Solanum lycopersicum: one gene and its partner. The protein of the gene in region 2 interacts with the protein of the main gene of each other region in a pairwise test. Links are inferred from orthologs where the notes say so. Each region holds a gene or a part of one and is shown on either strand. Other genes may lie near its edges.

Region 1 (3,176 bases), on a different chromosome or scaffold from region 2:
TCACATGTTATAACTCACCCATTTTCATTAACTAACTCAATCTTAAGTAGGTCTTGGGACAATATTTCGTTGAACAAGACCACCGAGTGTAATCTCACAAGTGGAATCTATGGAGGTCGTGTGTACACAGCCTTACCCCTATCTTTGAAGGTAGAGAGGTTGTTTCAAATAGACACTGGTTCAAGCTCAAGTGAAGCATAAAGAATCAGTATGAGAAGGAAAACAGCAATCAAAAAGCCATGTGGAAAATAATGGACCAGTAGCAACAACATATAAACCATAACTAGAAAAAAGGAAACAACAGGTAAGTATAAAATAGAAGACTAAGATATTAGGAAAATAATAATATTAATAAGGAAAATAAGGCAACGCTCAATTACCTACGAACCTTCTAGCCTAATCCTCGACCTCCATATCATCCTATCTAGGGCCATGTCCTCGCTAAGTTGCAATTGTGTCACTTCTTCAGCATAATTCTACCTCTACCCCCCACACACCCCGTAGCCAACCTTTCACACCTCATTGCAGGGCAATAAGTTGATAAAAAAAAGGTATTGTGAAGATGATTTTGAAAAATAATATTTTACATATTCTCTTCTGTACAAATACATCTTGTGAAAATAATTACAAATAGAGAAAACCTCTCCTCTTTTCTCCTCTTTCAGAGACCAGAGGTATCCTATATCTGTCTTCTCATTCTTATATAGAAGTGATCCTTCTGATTTTATTATTAGAAAGAAGCCTATGCTCAAATGTAGGCGAAAAGCAATAAGCTTTTGTTAATATCAAATTTATACGGCCTAAGATAGGTCAAAATTCACTTGAGCTCAAGTACAGCTAAGACAAGTTGAGGAAAGCATGTTGCCCCGAGCTTACTTGCCTTGCTTGTAGATTAAACTAATTCCAACAAAAGAAATCATGAGATGACATATTAAAGAATGTAATGATTTATATCAGATAGTTACTAATTTGCTAAACAATACAAATAACAATAGATGATTGTTGAGCATTTACCTGCACTAAAATAAACGGTAAAGCCACACCACCACTAGGAGCATTGCCTGAGCCATACAACTGATCATTGCGTTTTATGAGGTTTTGAAGCCCTACATACTATTTTAAAAGGAAAACAGTTTAGTAAAAAGAATAAGGATTACAGGACCAAGATATCATGCATCAGCATTGCGAAAGACTACCAAACTTATTTCTAAGATTGAACTAAAGATAGTGTTTAGAGAGAATTTATACTTGATCTTCAAGTTCTTCTAAATAAGCTGCTTTCTTTTCAATCCTATTTCTCAAGTTAAGACGCTCAGTCTGCAGTTACAACATGAGATTAGATTAAACATAGATCAACTGATGTGTGCCAAAAGTGATGGCTCATTGAATGCAACAAAAAAGAGGAAGAAGAAAGTTAGAGAAATCAAACCTTTAGCTCCTCAATATCATTTGCATCAGTGCGTGGTAATCCCTTCCACTGTATTTCCTTTTTATCTTTAGAAATGATATCCATAGCCATAAGTACGTTCAGAGCATCGTAGACTCGTCGTCTGATGTTCTTCTCATCATATTGTTTCTGTCATAATAAAGGTTCAAACTAATATTATTGTTGAAAACGAACAAATTAAAAATTTATGAACCGCGAGGATGGAGAAAAACCTGATCTGAGCCTGCAACACTATTGGTAGCATCAGAAAACTCAGCTACAAGTTCATCTGCAACCTGAGCAAGACATTAACTTCTGAGATCAGAAATCCCTTGAAAAGCAAATTGTTCAACACAGGAGAATGTAGCAAGCAGAAATCAGCCGTAGAAAATGCTAGAGTACAGTTAAAAGTGCAAATAAGTCCTTAGAAGCCAACAACAGAAGTACAACTACCCTTGTCAAGTTTCTGGGCGCAGGAGGCAGAGAGGCTGTTTCGGCTATGTTGCTCGGACTCTCTAAAAATTGTGATGGGTGCATTTTGGATTATCCAAAAGTAGTGTATTTTTGAAGAATCCGACACGAGTGTGGCATCAGTTTTGGAGAGTTCGAGAAACATAGGTTTCTGGGAGGCCCTCGACTCAATTACAACAAATTATAGTAGTTGTAAATAAGAAATAACGAAGTGAAGAAAACATGTTGATTAATAAAGAAAGTAGTACAAAGCATTTAGAAAAAGGAACAGTAGCAGCAAAATAATGTGACAACTGAAACACAAAAGACACCAGATGGTAACAGATATCAAAAGTGAGATACTACATGTATAAGGCTAATACTATGACCATCACGGTGCTTCCCGACGGCAGACTCTCACCAAGACAAATCCCACCGAAAAGTGAGACCAAACTCAGCTACCTACAAAACTTCTACTCTCATCCACGACCTCCATGCCCTCCCTATCTAAGATCATGTTCTTCTATGAGCTGAAGTTGCATCTTAACTGTCTAATCACCTCTCCTCAATACTTCTTTGGCCTACCTCCACGTCTCCCACACTATACCCAACTCGTACCTCTTCACTGGGGCATTTGTGCATCTCCTCTTTACATGCCCAAACCATCTCAGTCTCGCTTCCATCATCTTGTCCACCACAAATGTCACTCCTAAAGGTGGTGTGGGGATAACTCTTTGAAAATTACATTACCTAACATCTATAGAATTCCCCGGGCCAAAAATAGATAACAGTTCAATGAGTCTGAAGTTTACAAGCTAAAAACAAGAACCCTGCTCAAAGAGTTTCTTTAACTGATATAATCTGTAAAATTATGTTGGGCATTCATTACAGTGATTTCTTCTCTTTTGAATATTTATTATGAGGCTATATAGAGTGTTGCACTTGCTTAAAGAATTTACAGTTGAAGTATTTCAGCTTTTTGTGTATAAGGATGTCCTTAAGAAAAAAAAACTAGATTAAGCTACAGAAAATTTATGCACCAATTTCTTGAATAATAACTATGACCGTAAATCTATTAATTCAATGAACAGAACAGATATTATACATCTCACTGCTCATGTCATGGACATGATTAATATCAAGACATAACCCGAAGACAGAAACAACCACATTACTAGTTCTGAGGAAGAAAAACCATAAATTATATGCCCTTGTGAGACATTATTTTGATACCCAAAAGCCATTTAGTGAATCATCTCATAATTAATACTCCCTCCGTTTCAATTTGTTTGTCCTATCC
Region 2 (3,974 bases):
ACAACAACAATATATTCAATGTGACCTAAAAAATGTGACATATGGATTATGGAGGATAAATTATAAGCAAACTTTACTCTCATTTCATGTAAGGTAGATAGGTTTCGGATAAACACTCAACTAAAGAAAAATATTTTTTGTAGAATCTACGATAATAAAAATGCAAAAAAGAGAAGTATCTAAAACAAAAATAATAAGATTATAAGAAAATATAGGATTAATAGTAGTGATTAGTATAAGATGGGAGTAGAAAAGTTGCTCCTACTATTAGGATGGGCATAAATATTGAAAAATAGAGGAATTTAAACGTAGTTTTATCAATGTACGTTACGTAAGAAACTCATTTTCATCCTTGTCCTCCTCGCGCAGCAGAGTGACGCAATAATTAAGTACAATAACTGTTCCATATTGACGAGACACGTCATCATTTAGCATAGTTTTAAAGATTCTTAAATATCTCACACTTTTTTAATTTTACCCTCGTTTTATATTCTTCATTCTCATCGAAAAATTCATTTTTAAAAACAAATTGAAAAAAAACAAACTGAATTGAACTAGTTTGGTTCGGTATTCAGCGCACACTTTTTCAAAACTGCAAACAAAAAAAGTTGCTCCTATTATTAGGGTGAACATAAATATTGAAAAATAGAGAAATTCAAACATATTTTTATCGATATACATTACGTAAAAAACTCATCTTCGTCCTTGTCTTCCTCGAGCAGCGGCGTGACACAATATTTAAGTACAATAACTGTTCCATATTGACGAGAAACATCAATCACTTAACATAGTTTTAAATTTTCTTATATATCTCACACCTTTTTTTTTATTTTACCCTCATTTATTCTTCATTCTCATCGAAAAAATCATTTTTAATTGAAAAAAACGAACCGAATCGAACTAAGTTTGGTTTGGTATTCACTCCACACTTTTTCAAAACTGCAAACCAAAGAGCCAAACGACGAATGGCGAACGCCACCCCTACCTACTAGAATCATGTTTCTTCGACGTAACTTTCTACCCTAATTTTTGACTTCCGTCATTTGATCGCCCAAAAAAAATAAAAATAAAATAGTAAATTTTTTACCAATAGAAGGGTCAAATTGCAAATAATAAGTATTCATATGGACCAAAATGAATAAAAACAAAACATTAACATTTTCTCTTCCCTCCACATATATACAAAAACCAAAATTCCCTCCCTTCCCTCGTTTTCTCCTTTTTGCCTTTCACAGAGAAACCCTTACCCCCTACCCCCCCCCCTTACCCCCTACCCCCTTTACCCCTACCCCACCCCCACCCCATCCCCTCAGAACCCTTCTCTTCAACAATCCAAAAATCTTGAGTTCAAAGGGTATATCTTTTGATTACAAAACTAGGGAAAAAATGACAGGTTCTAGTGCATCCACTGGTGGGGCGGCGCCACCCACTGCTCAGTCATCATCCGCCGTTGTAAACGGTGGAGGGAGGAGTCAGATCTCTCATCCGATCAAAAGATACTTACCCTTTGCTTCTATGAGGCCACCTTTTGTTACACCTGAGGATTACCACCGATTTTCTATACCTGGTGTTGATTCTAGAATTGGGTCTGCTAGTTTGCAGCCTGAAGCTATTGTGGTTAAGTCACCTGTGAGTTTGTTGGATTCTTGTTTGAGTTATTAGTGTTGTTTTTTTATGGGGATTGCTGTTTGATTTTGTGTAGTGGGTTTTTGTGTTTTGAAATATGGGAACTTTAGATTAAGTAGTTGAGACTTGAAATTAGATGTTTTGAAGAAATATATCTTGTGGGGTTTGATTAAATGTAGCTAAAAAGATGTAATTTTGAGTTGAATTGTTGCTGTTTTTGTGCATTTTGCAGTAAATAGCATTCTTGTTTGAGCTTATAGTGTAGTTGTTGGGGATTGCTGTTTGATTCTAATAGTGGGTTTACGTTTTGAAATATGGGAACTTTAGATTAGAGGTGAGATTAAGGAGTGGAGACGTAAATTAGAGATTTCGAAGGAGGATATTTTGTTAGGTTTGATTAAATGTAGCTAAAAAGATGTAATTTTGAGTTCAATTGTTGCTGTTTCTGTGCATTTTGTGTTTACTTGCATTCTTGTTTGAGCTAATAGTGTAGTTGTTGAGGATTGCTGTTTGATTTTATTAGTGAGTTTTGCATTTTGAAATATGGGAACTTTAAATTAGAGGTGGGATAGAGTAGTGGAGACGTGAATTAGAGATTTCAAAGGAATATCTTGTGGGGTTTGATTAAACGTAGCTAAAAAGGTGTAATTTTGAGTTCAATTGTTGCTGTTTTTGTGCATTTTGTGGTTACTAGCATTCTTGTTTGAACTAAGATTGTCGTTTATGGATGCTTTTAATTGGGATTGATGTTGGACTTTGGTAGTGTGTCTTGCCTTTTGAAATGGAACTTCAGATTATAACTGGGATTGATTAGTAGAGACATGAATAAGATATTTTGAAGAAAGATATATTGTGGGGTTTGATTATATGTCGTTAAAAAGGTGTAATTTCGAGTTAAGTTGTTGCTGTTTTGTGCATTTTGTGGTACTTGCGATTTTGTTGATCTGCAATATTTGTATTTCAATGTGTGAATAACTTTTGAGGCTAATTATTGTGGTTGGAACCTGGTATTGGGTTTGTTAAGCTAATGGATGGTATTTGGTATGTAGCTAATTGGCTTTTGTTGGGTTAAGATGTTAAGCTGCCTTTGGTTTTTCATTTCTAATTTCCCCGGAGGTCATTTGCCTCTTGTTAGCTGAAACATCCAGATACTGCTGGCTAAATTTGGTAAAAAGGAGTAAATGAGTCAAAGTGAGTTGGTTGTGATTTATGCTGTTCTGTCATTCATGTTTGCACACGTGACAACCAATTTGGTTACATAGTTGAACATGTAATGTAGCTTTGTTGATCTTATAAACCTCATGAAACCTGAATGCCATTTTCTTTTTGTATGTGGATATTATTGGTGTCATTCATGTTTTGAGTCCTATTGATAGCTAGAGAAGATTGAGTGGGAGGATTTTTATTGTTTGTTCATCTTCAGAATTAATTCCTTTGTTTAAGTAACAATTGGGACTTGTTTGTGTTCTCTAATTAGTTAGCACTAAATTAAACTGAAGCTCTGTTAGTTATGGCTTTCCTTCTATAGGTATATTATTTTAGGTGTGAAAGGTTTAGTGCTTATGTCTTGGAACCAGCCTCTCCATAAGGAAGTTATCTGTCTACAGTCACCTTCCCTGGAGCCTGCACAGAGGGAGCCTTCTTACACTGCTGTCCACCCTTGTTGTTTATAGTTTGATAATTGTGTGCCCAAGTCAAGAATTTTTTAATTCTATATACTCTAATTTATCCCAGGGAAAATTCAGAGTTTAGTCGTAATTGTTCCTCAGTTTGCTATGTTTTACTTGTTGATCACTTATTTCTACTTTGCACACTTAATGCGCCTGTAGGCACTAAAGCGGAAGACAGGCTATATTAAAGAGGTTGAGTCCAGTGACTGGACTGCTAATTCCGGGTATGCAGATGTGGCCAATAGTCCTCTTGGAACGCCTGTGTCTGGAAAAGGAGGAAGAGCACATGGACGGTCAAGAGCCACAAAAAATAATAAATCTGGACCTCAAACTCCTGTCTATAATGCTGGTGAGGCTTGTGTCTAATTTTTTATGTCTTGATTGTAACTGGACACGAGTAAATGTTCAAATTTTATTTCCCTCCGCATCTATCTAAACGTTATTTATAGAAAACGGTCTGTACTGTCTTGGTTGCACTGGTTTATATGGTCTTAATTAACTTGTGGATTGCGATTTCGCAGGTTCTCCTTCTCCCCTTACACCTGCAAGCTGCCGCTACGACAGTTCATTGGGTATTCCATGATTTTTTGCCCAGGGATTGATTTGTTGTAAAAGTTTTTATGGAAAACGTGAGTTTATGGTGGAATAAACCCAAAATTGAATCTTCTGTTCAGGTCT

What was found. The genes of interacting proteins can lie anywhere in the genome.
Region 1: the proteins of transcription factor E2FA (region 2) and DP1 interact in binary tests that used the Arabidopsis thaliana proteins (3 or more experiments, as listed by UniProt). The link is inferred for Solanum lycopersicum from reciprocal best matches to the Arabidopsis thaliana genes E2F3 and DPB.

What each region holds. Positions count from the first base shown.
Region 1 is NC_090809.1:59,414,761-59,417,936, reverse strand, and holds part of DP1 (transcription factor-like protein DPB), read right to left. Parts: intron 1,723-3,176; coding exon 1,660-1,722; intron 1,577-1,659; coding exon 1,430-1,576; intron 1,318-1,429; coding exon 1,249-1,317; intron 1,114-1,248; coding exon 1,015-1,113; intron 1-1,014. UniProt on the Arabidopsis thaliana protein: Involved in the regulation of the G1/S transition. Increases the DNA binding activity of E2F proteins after heterodimerization.
Region 2 is NC_090800.1:2,212,603-2,216,576, forward strand, and holds the start of transcription factor E2FA, read left to right. Parts: upstream 1-1,174; 5' UTR 1,175-1,386; coding exon 1,387-1,629; intron 1,630-3,455; coding exon 3,456-3,645; intron 3,646-3,817; coding exon 3,818-3,868; intron 3,869-3,970; coding exon 3,971-3,974. UniProt on the Arabidopsis thaliana protein: Transcription activator that binds DNA cooperatively with DP proteins through the E2 recognition site, 5'-TTTC[CG]CGC-3' found in the promoter region of a number of genes whose products are involved in cell cycle regulation or in DNA replication.